Caenorhabditis elegans: one gene and its partner. The protein of the gene in region 1 interacts with the protein of each later gene in a biochemical or structural test. Each region holds a gene or a part of one and is shown on either strand. Other genes may lie near its edges.

Region 1 (8,366 bases):
ATGTGCTCACACACACTCATAACCAATTATCCTATTGTTCCCCCGGTTTTGAGCGGAAATTTACGGGTGTCATCATCATCATTATAGTAGGATATATTATTTTAGTGTTTTTTTTTAGTCTTTGAAATTTTTGAAACCCAGTCAAATTTCCTAACTTTGAAATATACGTGTTTACCATAGCGAATTTGCATAATTCATTCTGACCACACATGATATTTATGGCATATACACATGTATACATTCATGAAAGTATTACACCACTTGATTGCCCAATAGAAAGTGTTAATCTAATCATAAAAACTTTATACTTTATAGGTACGAGATAGCTGGCAACAATAATTTTTCAATCTCATCGAATTAGAATTGTAATGTCCTAACAAAGCAAACTTGTAAGGCAAAATCTGGTTTGATTACAAAAATAGTGCTGAATCTGCCAATTTCACTATGCAGAAATAAAGTTTTTTGAAAAGTTACAGTCAGAAAATAGCAGTTACTCAGTTTGCAATAAGGCTGTGCGGCTGGTAGAAAAATTACAAAGAATCGAAAGTTACCGAAAGACAAAACTAATTTTTAAAAAATTTAAACAACGCTACTAGGTTCCAGACACGATGTTTATAAGGGAACTCCGGCAATTGAGCAAAACCTTCCTATGTACATGTGTTCTTAGTTCTTCTTGAAACTCTCATGTTAATAGGTTCACAACCTACTTAACCCCTAGAACACGCTCTGTTTGTTTTTGACACCGTCTTCCGTTGTCTCTTGCGCTCCGCCGTCATCACCTGCCACGCAGCTCATTAACTCATTAACTCATAAGCTTGTGCCTTGTCTTGGCTTAGCTGTATATATATACGCTTCCTTAGTCTATATAGAACACCTACTAATGATCCTAATGTGCATGCATTTTTATTTTTGTACCAGTCGGCAGTTTTTCAAGATATAATCCAAATTATTTCAATTATTTGAATTTTTGTGAAATTTTAGTCTAGACCCATATGGCCCAAAACTGCCAAATGTTGTGTAAAGGCGTTCTGAAATATTAGCACTAAAGGAGTTTTTTTTTAAATGAAATCCCACTGCCCCACAAATAACCATCACTATTTCAATAATCAATACTATAAACTTTACACACTCTGTTCCGGAGTCCTCACCATGTGATCGATTAGAATCAAACTCATTAATCATTTTCTTTGACATAATTCGCGGGTTGCTCTCTACCCGACTTTTCGCAAATACAAACTGAACATCTGTCTGCCGAGTTAGTGATCATTAATGAATATTTATCTAGTTTCAGATTTTTTCGTATGTACATACATATTTCTATTTCATTTTCCCCCAACCCGGCTTACCCAGTCCCTCCGGATCCTCCTGACACATTTCCCCTTGTCCGTCCATCTATTTTCATTGTCCATCCCATTTTTTGCTCTTTTTTGCTTGTGCTCTTTTTCATATCTTCTTTTGCTTCTCAGTTTCATGTTCCATTTTTGGTTTGGACCCTATAGGACCGAAAACTCATTTGGGGATTACATTTATGTCATTTTTACTCATTTCCCCTCATTTTACGTTTCCGTTTCTTTTTAAAATATTACATGTTTCTCTACGGACCTCCAAAAGGCTACGGCTTCTATTCAAAAAATATAACTGCCTGCCTGCCTACAAGGTGATCTATGCCTTATACAACTAGAACTACAAAAATTTTGGTCACTACTAGTTAATTCTGAATTTGGTTCAAACAATCTATAAAATGAGAAATTTATAAATTGTATTTACTAATCCAAATGTACTTCTTCAAAACGTAACAAACAAATGACCATTTTGTAAATGTCTGCACAAAAAATGTCTAACCGATTCGCTTCATCGACGACCATCGGTTCACTTTTTTTCGTTTGATTGATCATGATGGAAATGGTCAGTCAAGTATTGTATTGCATTACAATTAAACATTGAATTCGTTCACGTTTCAAGTGATTTATAGGTTATGTGGTTATTGAAGAATGGGGAGACATTGGACACAGGTATTTCCTTATGTTGGAAAAATTTATTACATTTTTTTTTGGAATGAATTAACCTAGTTTTTGCATTTTTGGTTTTTCATGAAAATTTTTAATCAAAATACTATTGAGGTTAGTAAATTCTTTTTTGGTGTCACGTTTTATTACTTCGATGAGTTGGTAGAAGTTAGGAGTTAATCGCCTTTTAGTCAAACATGCAGGCATATTAGTACCTTTATTTTCAAATTTCTGAATTGGCTAAACTTCTTTTAAATTTCTCTATTACTTTTTTTCTGAAATGATCATAAATCTTCTTATTTTCAGAAATGCGATTATGCTCCCCGAATCGGTGTTTCTTCTCCTAATCAGCCATTTTCTGCGGGCGGTAACCCAGCCGCCCTTTGAAACAGAAGGCGTGAAACAAAAATTATTTCATTTTTCTGGACACATTGACGACTTTATTGTCTCGAGGGACCAACAAACGGTAGGACATCTCACAATTTCGAGAATTTTGAGAAAACTATCATTTTTGAAAGCTAGGCACGCCCTCATTTCTGCCTGCCTAATAAGCCTAAGCAGAAGCCTATAGTTGGTACCTGAGTAATTTTAATCTTTCAGATCTACGTGGCATCTCTCAACCGACTAACATCTTTATCAATTTCTAATTTTTCAATACAACATGAGGTTTCACTCGGTCCGGTTCAAGATTCTCCTTGGTGCTCTGCAGATGGAAAATCTTGCTTAAAGCTAGTTAATCAACATCACGTCTTTATCCAAATTATTATTTTCAGAGACAATCGCCCCTTCCCAACAGATGTTCGCACAAAAATCCTACAAATCCTTCCCACAAATCAAATTCTTCAGTGTGGTTCTGTAAAGCTCGGGTCATGCTCCACGTTCAATTCGAAGTTATCTCTCATCACTGAATCCACTATCGCAGTTGCCGCGAATTCTCCAGACGCGTCCACAGTATCGAAAATCATCGATAATCGTTTAATTGTTGCGGCAAGTGCAACGAAAGAATCTCCGTATCGAGACCCGTTTCCAGCGGTTGCAATTCGAAACTTGCCCGGTCTGAATGTTGAGAATGCCGGTGATCTGGAAGGAGAAGCTGCAGTTTTCCTGAGAGCAGCTTACAAGAATGCATTCAAGTTTTTGTACACCTTTACGCATCAACATTTTGTGTTTGTGGTCGCCATGGTCACACCAAGAGAGTCAAGATTACCTATGACAACCAGGTTGATACGATTCTGCCGAAATGACACAAAGTAGGTGTTTAGGCCAAAAATTAGCAAAAGTTATATCCCTATTTTCAGATTTGAATCCTACTCTGAAATCGAACTTCAATGCCGCGGAGAGGACAATACCAACTATCCATTTCTGAACGCAATCATTCAATCCTACGACAAGCTGATCGCATCGTTCTCAACATCATCCACATCTCCAAAAAGTTCCATTTGTGTATTTTCGATGCAAAAAGTGAAGCTGACTTTTTGGTACAATGTGGATAGGTGTAGAAGTGGTACTGATTCGATTAGACTACCTCATATCGGGAGAGATACAAAATGTGTTAATGCAAGTTTTAGGTTTTTCAATGAAGAAATTATTTCGCTTTTCAGAAAGCCCACATACCCCTCGACGAAGATAGCTGTGAGCTCGGTGTTGGTGGATCAATTGAACTTGTTGAGATGTCCACAAAAGACATTATGGGAAAGGTGACGTCATTGATGGCTGTAGATCAAAAAGCAATTTTCGCGGGAACAACAACTTCGCAGATTGTGATGGTAAATTTTACTAAAAAAGCTAGCTAGATTCACACGACTAACTGCTTGTGATCCATCATTGTCGCTGACCCTAAACAGCATTTCGAATGACACTTTAATCTTCAAAAATGTATATGAAAACAAATGTCAATCAAATGCATATCACAAAGGGATTATTTCTTGAAATCATAGGACTGATCTTTAAAAAAACTATTACAAACAATTTTAGTTTAAATGGGACGAGCACCATTCAAACCAGTTGGAAGAGTACGGTAGAAAGGAAGTTGGAGATGGGCGAACTGGGAGCGAGGTCAGCAAAATGGTCAAATTTGGGGATTTTGTCATTGTGCAGATGCCATATGGAGTAAGTTTATTTTGAAAAAAGGGTTTCATGTAGAACAAATTTTGGTTTTTTAGATCATATTAGAAGAGCTTTCCACTTGCTCTCATCACAGCTCATGCACAGAATGCTTAGTCTCTGTAGACCCACTCTGCCAATGGTGTCATCCGACGCAATCGTGTACGACTTCAGCAAGGTGTACTAGTCCAGTTGTAAGCAAGTTTATCTTTGTTCTATTTTGGCATACACGTTTCAGACTTCTCAGTGTCCAATTGTCGATGGTGATCCGATTCCTTCAATAGTCTCCGTGAACTCCTCTACCCCTATATCCTTCAACATTCACCATCTTCCACCTCCAGTCGGTTTCACTTATAGATGCCAATTCGGAACATCAACATCATCTATCAAAGCTAACTGGACAACGACCGGAGTTTCATGCCCATCGGAAATTTTTACATCACCAAACACTTTTGAAATTTTGTTGCTAACATCAATTTCCAATAATCCAATCAGCCGTCACAACTTCACAGTTTACGATTGCTCGGGTTACGGTACATGCTCGTCCTGTATGAGCTCTGAGTACAATTGTGCCTGGTGCTCTGGATTGCACAAATGTTCGAATTCCTGTGGGGCATTGGAAAAATCAAAAGCCTGCGTGAAAATTCAACCAATGAGGCTCCCAATTGCTATCGGTTCTCAACAAGAAATCGTGCTCGAGGCGTCTAACCTGGATACTCTTGATCGAAGGCACGAACATTTTTGTAAAGTAAACGAGCAAGTGTCTCTTGCAAAGATTGCAAGCGATAGTATCCGTTGTGGCAAGATTCAGTTGACTTTGAGCAACACTACGAGTGCAAACATGGTGGTTCCGTTGAGCCTGATCACAAGGGACTCTGTAATTGATATTGCTAATGGTAAGTACCAGAGATTTGTGAATTCAGTTTACAATACATACTTTAATTGAACTGCTTTTCAGTGTCCCTTTACTCTTGCACCAACCTGGCATCTGACTGTTCCAGTTGTCTTGCTCTTTCCCCTTCACTATCATGTGGATGGTGTAATCGACAGTGCTCCCACGAGTGCCACGAGTCAAAGGCCACTGCTGTGTGTGATCCACCAAGAATCGATAAAGTAAAAATGATATGAATACGTATATATCTTGTATTTAAAAATGTTTCAGTTCGAACCAACAAGTGGGCCCATCGAAGGAGGCACAATCATCAAAATCTATGGGAATGACCTGGGCATGTCTGTAGAAGACGTTCGTGGAAAGATCTATGTCGCCGGTTCTAGATGTAATATTGTGGAGTATCATGTTTCTAACATGATTGCATGTCAAGTCGACAAAGGTGTCAGCTCGGGCCCAATCAGGATATCAGTTGGTCGGGCAACAGTTGCAGTAGCAGAATCATCGGAACTATATTCGTTTGTAAGAACATCAATATTCTCCGCTTACCCCCTGTATGGCCCAATATCTGGCGGAACTCGAATAACTCTGTACGGTCAGAACTTATCAAGTGGATCTCAAACCTCTGTGACAGTTGGTGGCATGCCGTGTCCTATTGAAAGGGTAAATTCTTCAACAGTTTTGACTTGTCTAACACCTTCTGGAACTCGAATTGGAAAATCTGCTAGAGTAGTTGTTCATGTGGATCACTCCCAGACTCAACTCGATCAACCATTTGAATATCGATCGGACCCGTCTATTAGCTCAATCTTCCCGATGACTTCTTTCAAAGCCGGCGGAAGAATTGTTTATGTTCAAGGCAACTCATTGAACACTGTTCAAACAGCAAAGCTATTCCTCATATCATCTCCAACACCTCCGTTTTATATAATATCTGATCTGGCTCCATGTCACATCATTAACTCTACATTAATGACTTGTATGACTCCAAAAATTTTGGAAACAATCACTAGAAGAGTTGAGTATACACGGCAACCTGTGGGTTTTCACATGGACAATGTCACAGCTGTAGCAAATTTGGGAAGACGAATTCAGATGGGCATCTATCCGAATCCGACGCTTTCTCCGTTCAAAGGAGTACGATATCATCAGGGAGAACAATCACTCATTCTTGAAGGACACAATCTAAATCTTGCTGCGGAGCCAAATGATTTCAAGATCTTCATTGGAAATGAGAGATGCTACGTGACACTTGTAGATGTTAGGCAATTGGTGTGCTCGGGACCGGTGAGGCAACCAAAAGCTACCGATGAAAGAGGAATTCCAATTAATGGGGATAACCCGCTGGTTACTGTAATAGTTGGATCACTTAGAATGGAGCTTGGGTTGATTGAGTATTCCGATCATGCACTCCCGTCCAGACTATCACTTTTGATTCTTGGGCTACTTCTGTTCATTGTTGTCACGTTGACTGTGATGTGCTTGGTTTTCAAGCGGAGGCGTCAAGAACGAGAGAAAGAATACCGAAAGATTCAGCTTCAAATGGAAAATCTTGAAAACAATGTTCGTAAAGAATGCAAGCAAGCATTCGCTGAACTTCAAACAAACCTAGTACTATCTCCAAAGTCTGCAAATTCTGTGAACCTTGGACCGGAACTCATCAACTTCCCGCATTTTGTGGAGAACCTGCTCTGGTCTGATAACAACCTTACATCTGCGCCGAGTTTGGCAAGGACTCTCCCAGTGACTCTTGCTCAATTTCATGCACTTCTGAGCTTCAAAGGCTTTATTTTCACTATCGTAGAAGCTGCAGAATCGGATGTCTCCATATCAACATCAGAGAAGTCAATGTTAGCAAGCCTCCTGATATCTGTGTTACTTCGAAACTTCTCTTATTGCACTGAAGTTGTTGTGGACCTTCTACGTGCCCATATCGCAAGATCGGTTCAAAATAAGCGCGCCGAGTTACTGTTTCGGAATAGTGACTCGGTGGTGGAGAAAATGTTCTCAAAGTGGATGAGCATTTGTTTGTACTCCCATTTGACTCCGCAAATGAACTCGTACTTCTATCTATATAAGGCGCTACAATATCAAACTGACAAAGGACCCGTGGACGCGGTGACCGGTGATGCGAGATATACGATTAACGAGGCCAAATTGTTAAGGGAGAGTGTGGACACAAAGACTTTGGTGAGCTTTTTTTCAAATTTTCAAATGTTCAAGGTTTTATAAAAAGTTTCACAAGTGTTTAAACTCATAGAGGTTAAAGATGATTTTTAACTTTACAATGTATCTTTTACTACGGTGATTTTTTTTACTACGCTTTGTATCTTATTATTGTATCTTACTAGATGTTTTTTACTACGAGTTCAAAACTCATTTTTATAATTTATTCCAAGTATAATTACCCAAATATAGTGAATACAAATGTCGCACTTGTAGTTTGTAGTCAAGTAGTTCTAGTAAATTTGAGTATACCCGGGTTAGTAAAATAACAACGTAGTATATAAGATGAAATAGTGAGAAAATATTTTCCTATTATTTCAAAGTTTACTAGACTACGAGAGAATCAACGGTTATTATGAACGGCTACTAAATTTTATTATCGGAAGAAACGAATTTTGGTAGAAATTCCACAAAATTGTGAATTGATGTAACAAATTTACATAGTTATTTAACCTGGATTAATCAGAAAATATATAATTCATTTTAACAACATACCTTTGTTTCAGTTTTGAAACGTTTACAGTTGATCCCACAGGAAAAGGGAAAGCAAGTCTAATTGATATGCTATTTTTGGTTAATTTTCAGAAAATTCGTGTGATTCCATTTGAAAAATGCGATGAATCAATAGATCTTGAAGTTCATGCATGCGACGCAATTTGTCAAGTCAAACAAAAAGTTGCTTCAGCTGTCTATCGTGAAACACCATATTCACAGCGACCGAGAATAACGCAGTTCGAATTGAGTGGGTCATAAATAATCCCATATGTGTCTTCAATCAGTTTTTTTTCAGAATATAAATGTCCCAAACGGGGAGATGTGAAACTGACCGATGTTTTGCCAATTGAGACGTTATCGCAGAAAAAGCTACCAGTAAAGTTGTTCACTTTGGCAGATTACGGTATCAGTGATGGCTGTACGCTGGAAATGTCTCCAGCGGTTTATACAGCGGAAAGCTATAGAAGTGAGTTAATTGAAGAAACAAAATTTGAATATAACCCTTAAAATTTCAGATTCTCTCGCAGATTCTGGACAATCTTCCTGGTCATCGTTAGATCGATGCTCTCCAATTTATTCATCTTCAAAATACTATCACCTAACAAATCCGTCATCTGGAACTATGACTTTCAAGAAGAAATCTTCAA
Region 2 (8,085 bases), on another chromosome or scaffold:
AGGCTTAGGCTATTGCTTAGGCTATGGTTCAGTTTCAGGTTTAGGCTATGGTTCAGGCTCAGGTTTAGGCTTAGGTTTAGGCTTAGGCTTAGGCATATGCTTAGGCTTAAGCTTAGGTCTAGGCCTATGACAGCCTATATTCCTTACAGGCTATCTGAAGAGTTTTCAATTTTCGTTAGCATCGAATAAACGAAGCTCAGAATTTGTGGGCTAAAAAATTTGTGCGATGCATGTGCTGAACTTTAGGTAATGTTTTTTTTTATTCAGGTTATGGAATTTTTTTAGTGGCCGCGGCCGTCAATATTTCTAGGCCAGATTTGCATACCTGTCCGTATAAAAGAACAATGCCAAGAAAAATGAGAAAAATAATTAGAAGCAAATTAATCGGTCTACTGGCACGAGATTTCATTTCGAAAAAAATATCGGAATATTTTGATTCCACCTGCCCTTTTATTGGTGCCGTTCCGGATTGTTTCGTAGAATACTTTTTCAGATTTAATCGCGATTTTGTCCAGTTTTCCATGCCGAATTTCGATGGTTCGACAAGATTAGTGGACGACAAAAAGAAACGTTTTGTTCTCAAAATTGCTTTTGGTCGGCGACAAATGTTTCGGGAAAATTCTAGTTTTTTTTGGAGGAATTTGTAAATTTATCAGGAGAATTTTTAAATTTACCAGGAGAATTTTAAAATTTACCAGGAGAATTTTTAAATTTACCAGGAGAATTTTTAAATTTACCAGGAGAATTTTTAAATTTACCAGGAGAATTTTTAAATTTACCAGGAGAATTTTAAAATTTACCAGGAGAATTTTTAAATTTACCAGGAGAATTTTAAAATTTACCAGGAGAATTTTTTAATTTACCAGGAGAATTTTTAAATTTACCAGGAGAATTTTTAAATTTACCAGGAGACTTTTTAAATTTACCAGGAGAATTTTTAAATTTACCAGGAGAATTTTTAAATTTACCAGGAGAATTTTTAAATTTACCAGGAGAATTTTTAAATTTACCAGGAGAATTTTTAACCGGTTTTTAAAATTTTCGGCAATTGCCGGAATTGCCAAGATTGCCGGAATTTGCGATTGCCGGGCATTTTCGGCAATTTTGAAACCTAGTCATATTGTGGAAATTGAAAAAATTTCACCTTGTCTCTTAGTATTCATTTAGTCATTTTCTGAAAGAAAACGTTCAATCCTTAAAGGATCAAATTATGTTGAGCTTGAAAATAAAACATTTTTCATCAAAATGCATGTTTAGGCTCCTAAATCTACAAAAAAGTATCAAATTTATATTTCCGACAATTCTGATTTCCGGCAATCGGCAATTACGGCAGTTGCCGGTTTCAAAAAATTCGATAATTGCCGAAATTGCCGAAAATCGATTGCTGGTAGGCAATTGCCGCGCACCCTTGTTCTTCAGTAGAGTACAGTACTATATTACAGAACTGCCACTACAGTACCCTTACAGTACTCCGACACTTTTTCCCTAACCAGGTACGGACCGTCACTGCAAAGTTTTAAGCGTTTTATTTGCAGTTTTTGATGTATTTATGTGTAGAGTTTTTTGGAAAATTTTGAGAATTTTTTAAATTTTAGTTTTACAATTTTTAGATGTTCGGTAATAATATTCCTTATTGAAAAAATATTAATCATTTCTAATTCAACATATGGAATTCTGGTTTTGATACATGTTAATTAGCGTTCTTCAAGTGGCTCTCCTTCTCCTGTAATCCACCGAACATTGTGGACGTCAACACACACACACACACACACACACACAAAAGACGAAACGACCCAACAAATACAATTACGATGTCTTCTCCGTCTACTCTCTCATTCTTTAGGACTAAAGAGGCACAGCTGCCAGTAACAGGGACCCCTCCTTTGTGTCTGCGTCTCTCCCTCTCTCTCTCTTTGGGGTGGCCTTCGTCTTCTCCCCCATCCTGCACACACACACACACACCCTGACACCACAACGGTTTCATGCAAATTCTATATAATATTTATTGATTTTCTATCCTTATTAATTTCAAGTTAAAGAGTTTAACTCTGAAATAAAAATCTTTGAAAATGAGGAATTTTCTGGTATTTAGCGTAATTTTTATTGCGTACAACAGCTGTGAAGCAGCGAATATTCAAGCAGGTGAGTATTTTTCAAATTGATTACCTATATAAAAATTTGAGGTTAAATCCAAGAAATTATAGATTTTAGCCAAATTTCCACGAATTGAATGAATTTGCCCAAGCTTGGACCCGAAACGACAATTTTTGTAAAATGCAAAAGGGCATGCGTCTTTAAAGAGTAATGTAGTTTTCAGCTAGGATTTGCTATTGAAAAACTAAAAGAAAAACTATTTTTTAAAAAATCAATAAAATTAAACGTCTCGATATTACAGTCATCTTCAAAGACGCACACCATTTTGCATTTTACAACAATTTATCGCTTCGAGACCAAAAATAAATTTTTTTTTTTTTGGTTTTAAGTCTCTCCTCTAATTCGGCATTTTTGCGCTTGCATTTATTGTTATAACATAAGTTAATCTATTTTTTAAAGCAACTTCATAAAGTTGCTTGAAAAAATTGATAAAATTATTTCGACCGTAAATTTGTATGGTTTTTCGTGACGAGACCCAAGATTTTTAAGGGTTTTTTGGCAATTTTCAGTGAAGTTTTGTGAATTTTTTTTGTGTATTTGAACGTTTTTAGTATGAAAACTATGAAAAAAAAACAAATTTTTAAAAAAATTTTCTGAATTTCCATCCGTTACATATTGAGTTTAATAGCATATTTTCATGGAAATTTTTATAGATTTTTCACAGTTTTTATTTCAATTTGCTATTGTTTCCGGTGAAAAATGCATCTTTTTCAAAGATCAAACTTCGCAACAACAAAAGTTTTGCAAGTACAGTAATCTTCAAAGGCGCACACATTTTTTCATCTAACAAAAATCTAGACCGGGACGACCGTATTTTTTGACCCGAGCGCTTTGCAAAATTTCGCATTTGCACGGATTTCTAGATTTAAAAAAAGGATTAAAGGACGATCACGTTTTTCAAGTGCTATGCACTGCGGATCTGGGATTCAGGTACCTGCCTGGTGGTGATCCCTCATTAATTGAAATGGAAGAGTTTTTGCCGAACTAGGCCATTTTGGCTCGTCCATATTTGGGGTAGATTTACGGCGCGTTGCGTGTCGCGTCGCGGCTCGCCTTTAGTTGTAAAAATAAATGTATTTGTCCGTCGGTAGATTGTCAATGGAGCGCGATAAATGCAATGAGGAAGGCCAGAACCCCGAGATTTGGGTGTTAAAAAAAATTTTCTTTCCAAAAATTCAAATTTTCGTGGGTTCAACAAATCAAGGATCATAAGTCAAAAACTGAGCGAAAAAATTATGCTTTTCGAGATGATAAGGTCCCATTCATTACAAATTGTATAAAATTGTGTATGCAAATATGCTCTAAAGATAATTTTTTTTGTTTACCTAGGTATTAGTGTCATCAATCCAATATATATGTATTTACCTAAATTCTTAATTTTTGCAGACAACACATTTGCCGACCCGAACATTGGAGAATTCCGTGAACTACTAATCGACCCAAAAGCCGGTGCTCTTTTTGTGGGCTCCGAGGGAGCCATTTTCCGTCTTTGGGCTTATAATATCAACGATACGGGGGAGAATGTGTTCGCCAAAAAACAACTGGTGCTCAGCGAGTCCGAAGAATCCGAGTGTCGTTCGACGGCCAGTGACGAGCGATTGTGCCGCCCGTCGACTCGATTTTTGGCGTTTACGAATAACCTCGACTCGATTTATGTTTGCTCGTCGGTTGGCATGAGGCCGGAGATTCGTGTGCTCGACTCACTTTCGTTGCGAGACCAACAGGAGCCGCGGACCGAGATTGGGATTTGTGTTGTGGATCCGACGTTTAATTTTACGGCGGTTGTGGTTGATAGTGGGAATCCGGAGGGTAAGCAAGTGCGCTCTATTGATAAATGAAATTCATTGATAATTTGGCTGCAATTTTTCAAAATTGTTTTGAAACTTTTCTAGTTTTGAATGAGTTTGCTTAAAAAAATGACCAAAAATACCCAATTATTTTACAAAAACTATCAAAAAACATCCTTGAATTTTGCAAAAATTTTTGTTGCACAGAAAGTGGGGCGGAGCGTAGCTTTCGCAACACTGCCGCACGGGTTTGCCTCCGCCCCTTCTCCACTGCTTTTCTTGTTGATTTTTTCAATAATGTTTCGATTTGACTATTATTTTTCTCTTTTTTCGAAACAAAAAACTTTTGAGGCAAACCCCGTGCGGCAGTGTTGCGAAGTTACGCTCCGCCCCACTTTGTGTGCGACAGAAAAAATTTTGCAAAATTCAAGGATCGATTAATAAGTTTTGATAGTAGATTTTATCACCAATCCCCACGTGGTGTCAGGCTGCTTCATTTCAGTTTGATCTACAAAAAATGCGGTAATATTTTTCCATAAAAACTGTGACGTCAGCACGTTCTTAACCATGCAAAATCAGTTGAGTACTCTGCGTCTCAACTCCCGCATTTTTCGAAGATCAAATCAAAGTAAGACATTCTGACACCACGTGAAATTGTGAAAAAAATATTTGTTTTAGTCTAGAATTTGGATACATTATCTATTTTCTGCAAACTTTGTGAATGATAATTCTAAATTACACTTTTTACTGTGATTTAGAATTATCGATATTTGAAAAAAATTTTGCAAAAAATTTTTTATTTTATTCTCATAAATTTTGCATCAAAACATTTTCCAAAAAATAAAGTGCAAATTCCAAAAGTAATTTTTGCAATAATGTTTGCCAAATTGTTGCAGTTTTCATTTGCAGATGCCACATCCGTATACTCTGGAATCCGTACAGGAATGGGCGGTGAGAATCATCTGATCTACCGTCCACCGCTCACCAAAAACGGCAAACAACTGCACGCCAGTATTCGAACAATCTATTCGGACAACAAATGGCTCAATGAGCCGCAATTCGTCGGCTCATTTGATGTCGGACAGCATGTGTTCTTCTTTTTCCGTGAAATTGCACATGATAACTCGTTCGGCGAGCGAATCGTTCATAGTCGTGTGGCAAGAGTTTGTAAAAAGGATATTGGCGGGAGAAATGTATTGCGACAAGTTTGGACGTCATTTGTCAAGGCTCGACTTAATTGTTCGGTTTCTGCAAATTTCCCGTTTTATTTCGATCATATTCGTAAGTTAGGCCACCGAGTGGAGCATCGTGGCCGAGAAAAAGAGAAATTGAAAAAAAATCAATTTTATTCATTTTCTGTTTGAAGTCTTGAAACCCTTCAATTCGTGATATTATACTAATTTTTCACGGATTTCTGGCTACCCTCATAAATTGAAATGGAAGAGTTTGCCAAAGTAGGCCATTTTGGCTCGGCCATATCTGGGGTAGATTTACGGTGCGTTGCGTGCCGCGTCGCGGCTCGATTTCAGTTGTAAAACTAAATGTATTTGTCCGTGTGGAGTACACGACTTTCTCACGAGTTGTCCGGCAGGCGAGAGCGCGAAAAATTCAATGAGCAAGGCCAGAGCCTCGTGATTTTAAAACAAATGTTCGCCAGTTTTCGCAGTATTCACGTGGTGTCAGGTTGTCCCATAACGGTTTGATCTACAAAAAATGCGGTAATATTTTTCCAAAAAAACTGTGACGTCAGCACGTTCTTAAACATGCGAAATCAGTTGAGAAGTCTGCGTTTAAATTCCCGCATTTTTTGTAGATCACAACAAAATGGGACATTCTGACACCAGTATTGAAAAATATGGCGACCGAGTGTAGCATCGTGGTCGCACGGGGTTATGGTCTTTCTCATTGAATTTTTCGCGCTCCATTGGCGATCGCCCGCCGGACAACGCGTGGGAAAGTCGTGTACTCCACACGGGCAAATGCATTTAGTTTTACAACTAAAATCGAGCCGCTACGCGACACGCCACGCGCCGTAAATCTACCCCAGGTATGGTCGAGCCGATAAATTTAAGGAAAAAAAATCATGAAGTTCTCAAATTTAAGACCGTCTCAATAGAGCGCATCTACACTGTCTATTTTTTTTTTCAGAATCCGTAAAACGCGTCGACAAACACGGAGAAACCTACTTCTACGCCACGTTTTCCACATCGGAAACCGCATTTACTTCTTCTGCGATATGCATGTTCCAACTCTCTTCAATCAATCATGTAAGTGGTGGCCGTGGCCGCCAAACAAATCAAATTAACTCGGCCACCTATTGAACTTTGTGTTTTCAGCTCCTCGACACCGGCCTCCTAATGGAAGAGACTGCGAACGGGCAGTTTTCGGTGACCGCCGACGAGATTCCGGCTCATCGCCCGGGAACGGTAGGTGGAAAATGTGCTCTATTGCAAAATAAATTTTACAAAAAAAAATCTAGTTCAAAAATGAAATTTTGCGTCAGAAGTGGGCGGAGCCGTAGTTTTAGAATTTTTGAAAAATTTGAAAGCCCGCCTACGCTCGGTGTCTTCTAAAAATCGGTTTTAACTCGGCGGGGCTTATTTCAAAAAAAAATTTCTTTAATTTTTTGCAATTTTTTTCAAACAATTTTGATGCGGAGCACGTGGTGTCAGGCTGTCCCAATATAGCTTTATCTACAAAAAATGCGGGAATTTTTCCCAGAAAAATTGTGACGTCAACACGCTCCTCCATTCGAAATCAGCTGAGAACTCTGCGTCTCTTCTCCCGCATTTTTTGTAGATCAAAGCGAAATGGGACTTTCTGACTCCACGTGGCCGAGCATATTAACAAGGAAAACATGCGTTGGTCCGAAAATATTGATACCAGGGGGCGGAGCTTATTTAATGATTTTTTAAAGGAACATCTTGGAAGCCCCACCCATTTCTGACATAAAACCCCTTTTAATCGATTTTTCAGGATGTTAAAATCAATTTTGATTGAAAAATACCTATTTTCCGTTGGTGAAATTCATTTTTAGATATAAAAATTGTGTAATATAAGCCCCGCCCATTTCTGACGCGTTAACCACTTAATCATCGATTTTCTCTCTTTCAGTGCTCACAAAACTCGCACAGCATTTCGGATACGGATCTTCACTTTGCAAAAACGCATCTCCTGGTTTCCGATTCCATATCCGGCGGAACCCCGATTCTGCCACTCCGTGACCACGTTTTCACGCATATTGTCGTAGATCAACTTCCCAACCAGAATGTGATTTTTGCATTTGATAGTGCAAATCGACGAGTTTGGAAAATTTCGCATTGGAAAGAAGGAAACGAGTGGAAATCGAATTTAATCGAAGAAAAATCGCTAAAAATTGCGGCCTCCCGGATTAATGACGTGGCACTTTTGCCTGCCGAATTCTTCTTTGTCACGTCTGGAGCCGGTGTCTCCCAATTCTCAGTTGCTCGATGCTCGGAGCAACCATCCTGTGCTCTCTGCTCCCTTGATCCCTACTGCAGCTGGAATGCGGTCAACTCGAAATGCTCGCTGAAAACAAAGACAAATGAGAAATCAGTCGGCTGGATTTCGAGCTCATGGGCTGGAAGAATATCACCAGAGTGCTCCGCTGTCGAGAAGCTTACCGTTAAGGATGTCTACTTGGGCGACGGGCTCCGTTTGGTTGGAGCCAAGAATGGGGTGTGGCAGAAGGATGGGCGGAGTGTTGAGAGTGGGCAACGGCACGTGGTGACTCGGAATGGGGAATTGGTGGTGTTGGATGCGCAGTTGGAGGATGCTGGAACCTATGAATGTTTGAGAGATAATATTATTCTTGTTAGAGCAAGAATTGTTGTTCATGGTAATGAGTTTTAACAAAAAATTCAACTGAAAAAATCACGAAAAACTGTACTTTTTTGCGGCCATGAAATTAATTGTAGAAAAACTGCAGAAAAATGACAGAAAACAAATCGGTGGCCGAGTTTTTTATCTTTCCGCGGCCACGCCATTTTTCGTCTCGCTACACCAGTGTTTCCGACTTGGCCGCCACAAAAAAACGGTGGCCGAGGTTTCTTTTTTTCGCGGCCACATGTTTTTTAATTTTCATTTTTTAAGAAACAATATGCATTTTTTATGAATTTTTCTC

What was found.
Region 2: the proteins of plx-2 (region 1) and mab-20 interact in far-western blotting, tested with the Caenorhabditis elegans proteins (one study listed by BioGRID).

What each region holds. Positions count from the first base shown.
Region 1 is NC_003280.10:14,418,838-14,427,203, reverse strand, and holds the start of plx-2 (Plexin-2), read left to right. Parts: upstream 1-2,312; 5' UTR 2,313-2,322; coding exon 2,323-2,472; intron 2,473-2,606; coding exon 2,607-2,734; intron 2,735-2,779; coding exon 2,780-3,256; intron 3,257-3,304; coding exon 3,305-3,563; intron 3,564-3,607; coding exon 3,608-3,772; intron 3,773-3,980; coding exon 3,981-4,115; intron 4,116-4,168; coding exon 4,169-4,303; intron 4,304-4,347; coding exon 4,348-5,005; intron 5,006-5,067; coding exon 5,068-5,222; intron 5,223-5,271; coding exon 5,272-7,188; intron 7,189-7,809; coding exon 7,810-7,966; intron 7,967-8,014; coding exon 8,015-8,185; intron 8,186-8,234; coding exon 8,235-8,366. UniProt on the Caenorhabditis elegans protein: Involved as a receptor for mab-20/sema-2a in the formation or stabilization of cell-cell contacts at several stages of epithelial morphogenesis. In early embryonic development, required for proper ventral closure of the epidermis.
Region 2 is NC_003279.8:1,645,240-1,653,324, reverse strand, and holds the start of mab-20 (Semaphorin-2A), read left to right. Parts: upstream 1-1,867; 5' UTR 1,868-2,069; coding exon 2,070-2,142; intron 2,143-3,540; coding exon 3,541-3,963; exon of another isoform or gene 3,964-4,850; coding exon 4,851-5,222; intron 5,223-6,089; coding exon 6,090-6,208; intron 6,209-6,277; coding exon 6,278-6,367; intron 6,368-7,055; coding exon 7,056-7,800; intron 7,801-8,085. Other genes in the region: Y71G12B.18 (Methyltransferase FkbM domain-containing protein), read right to left, coding at 326-409.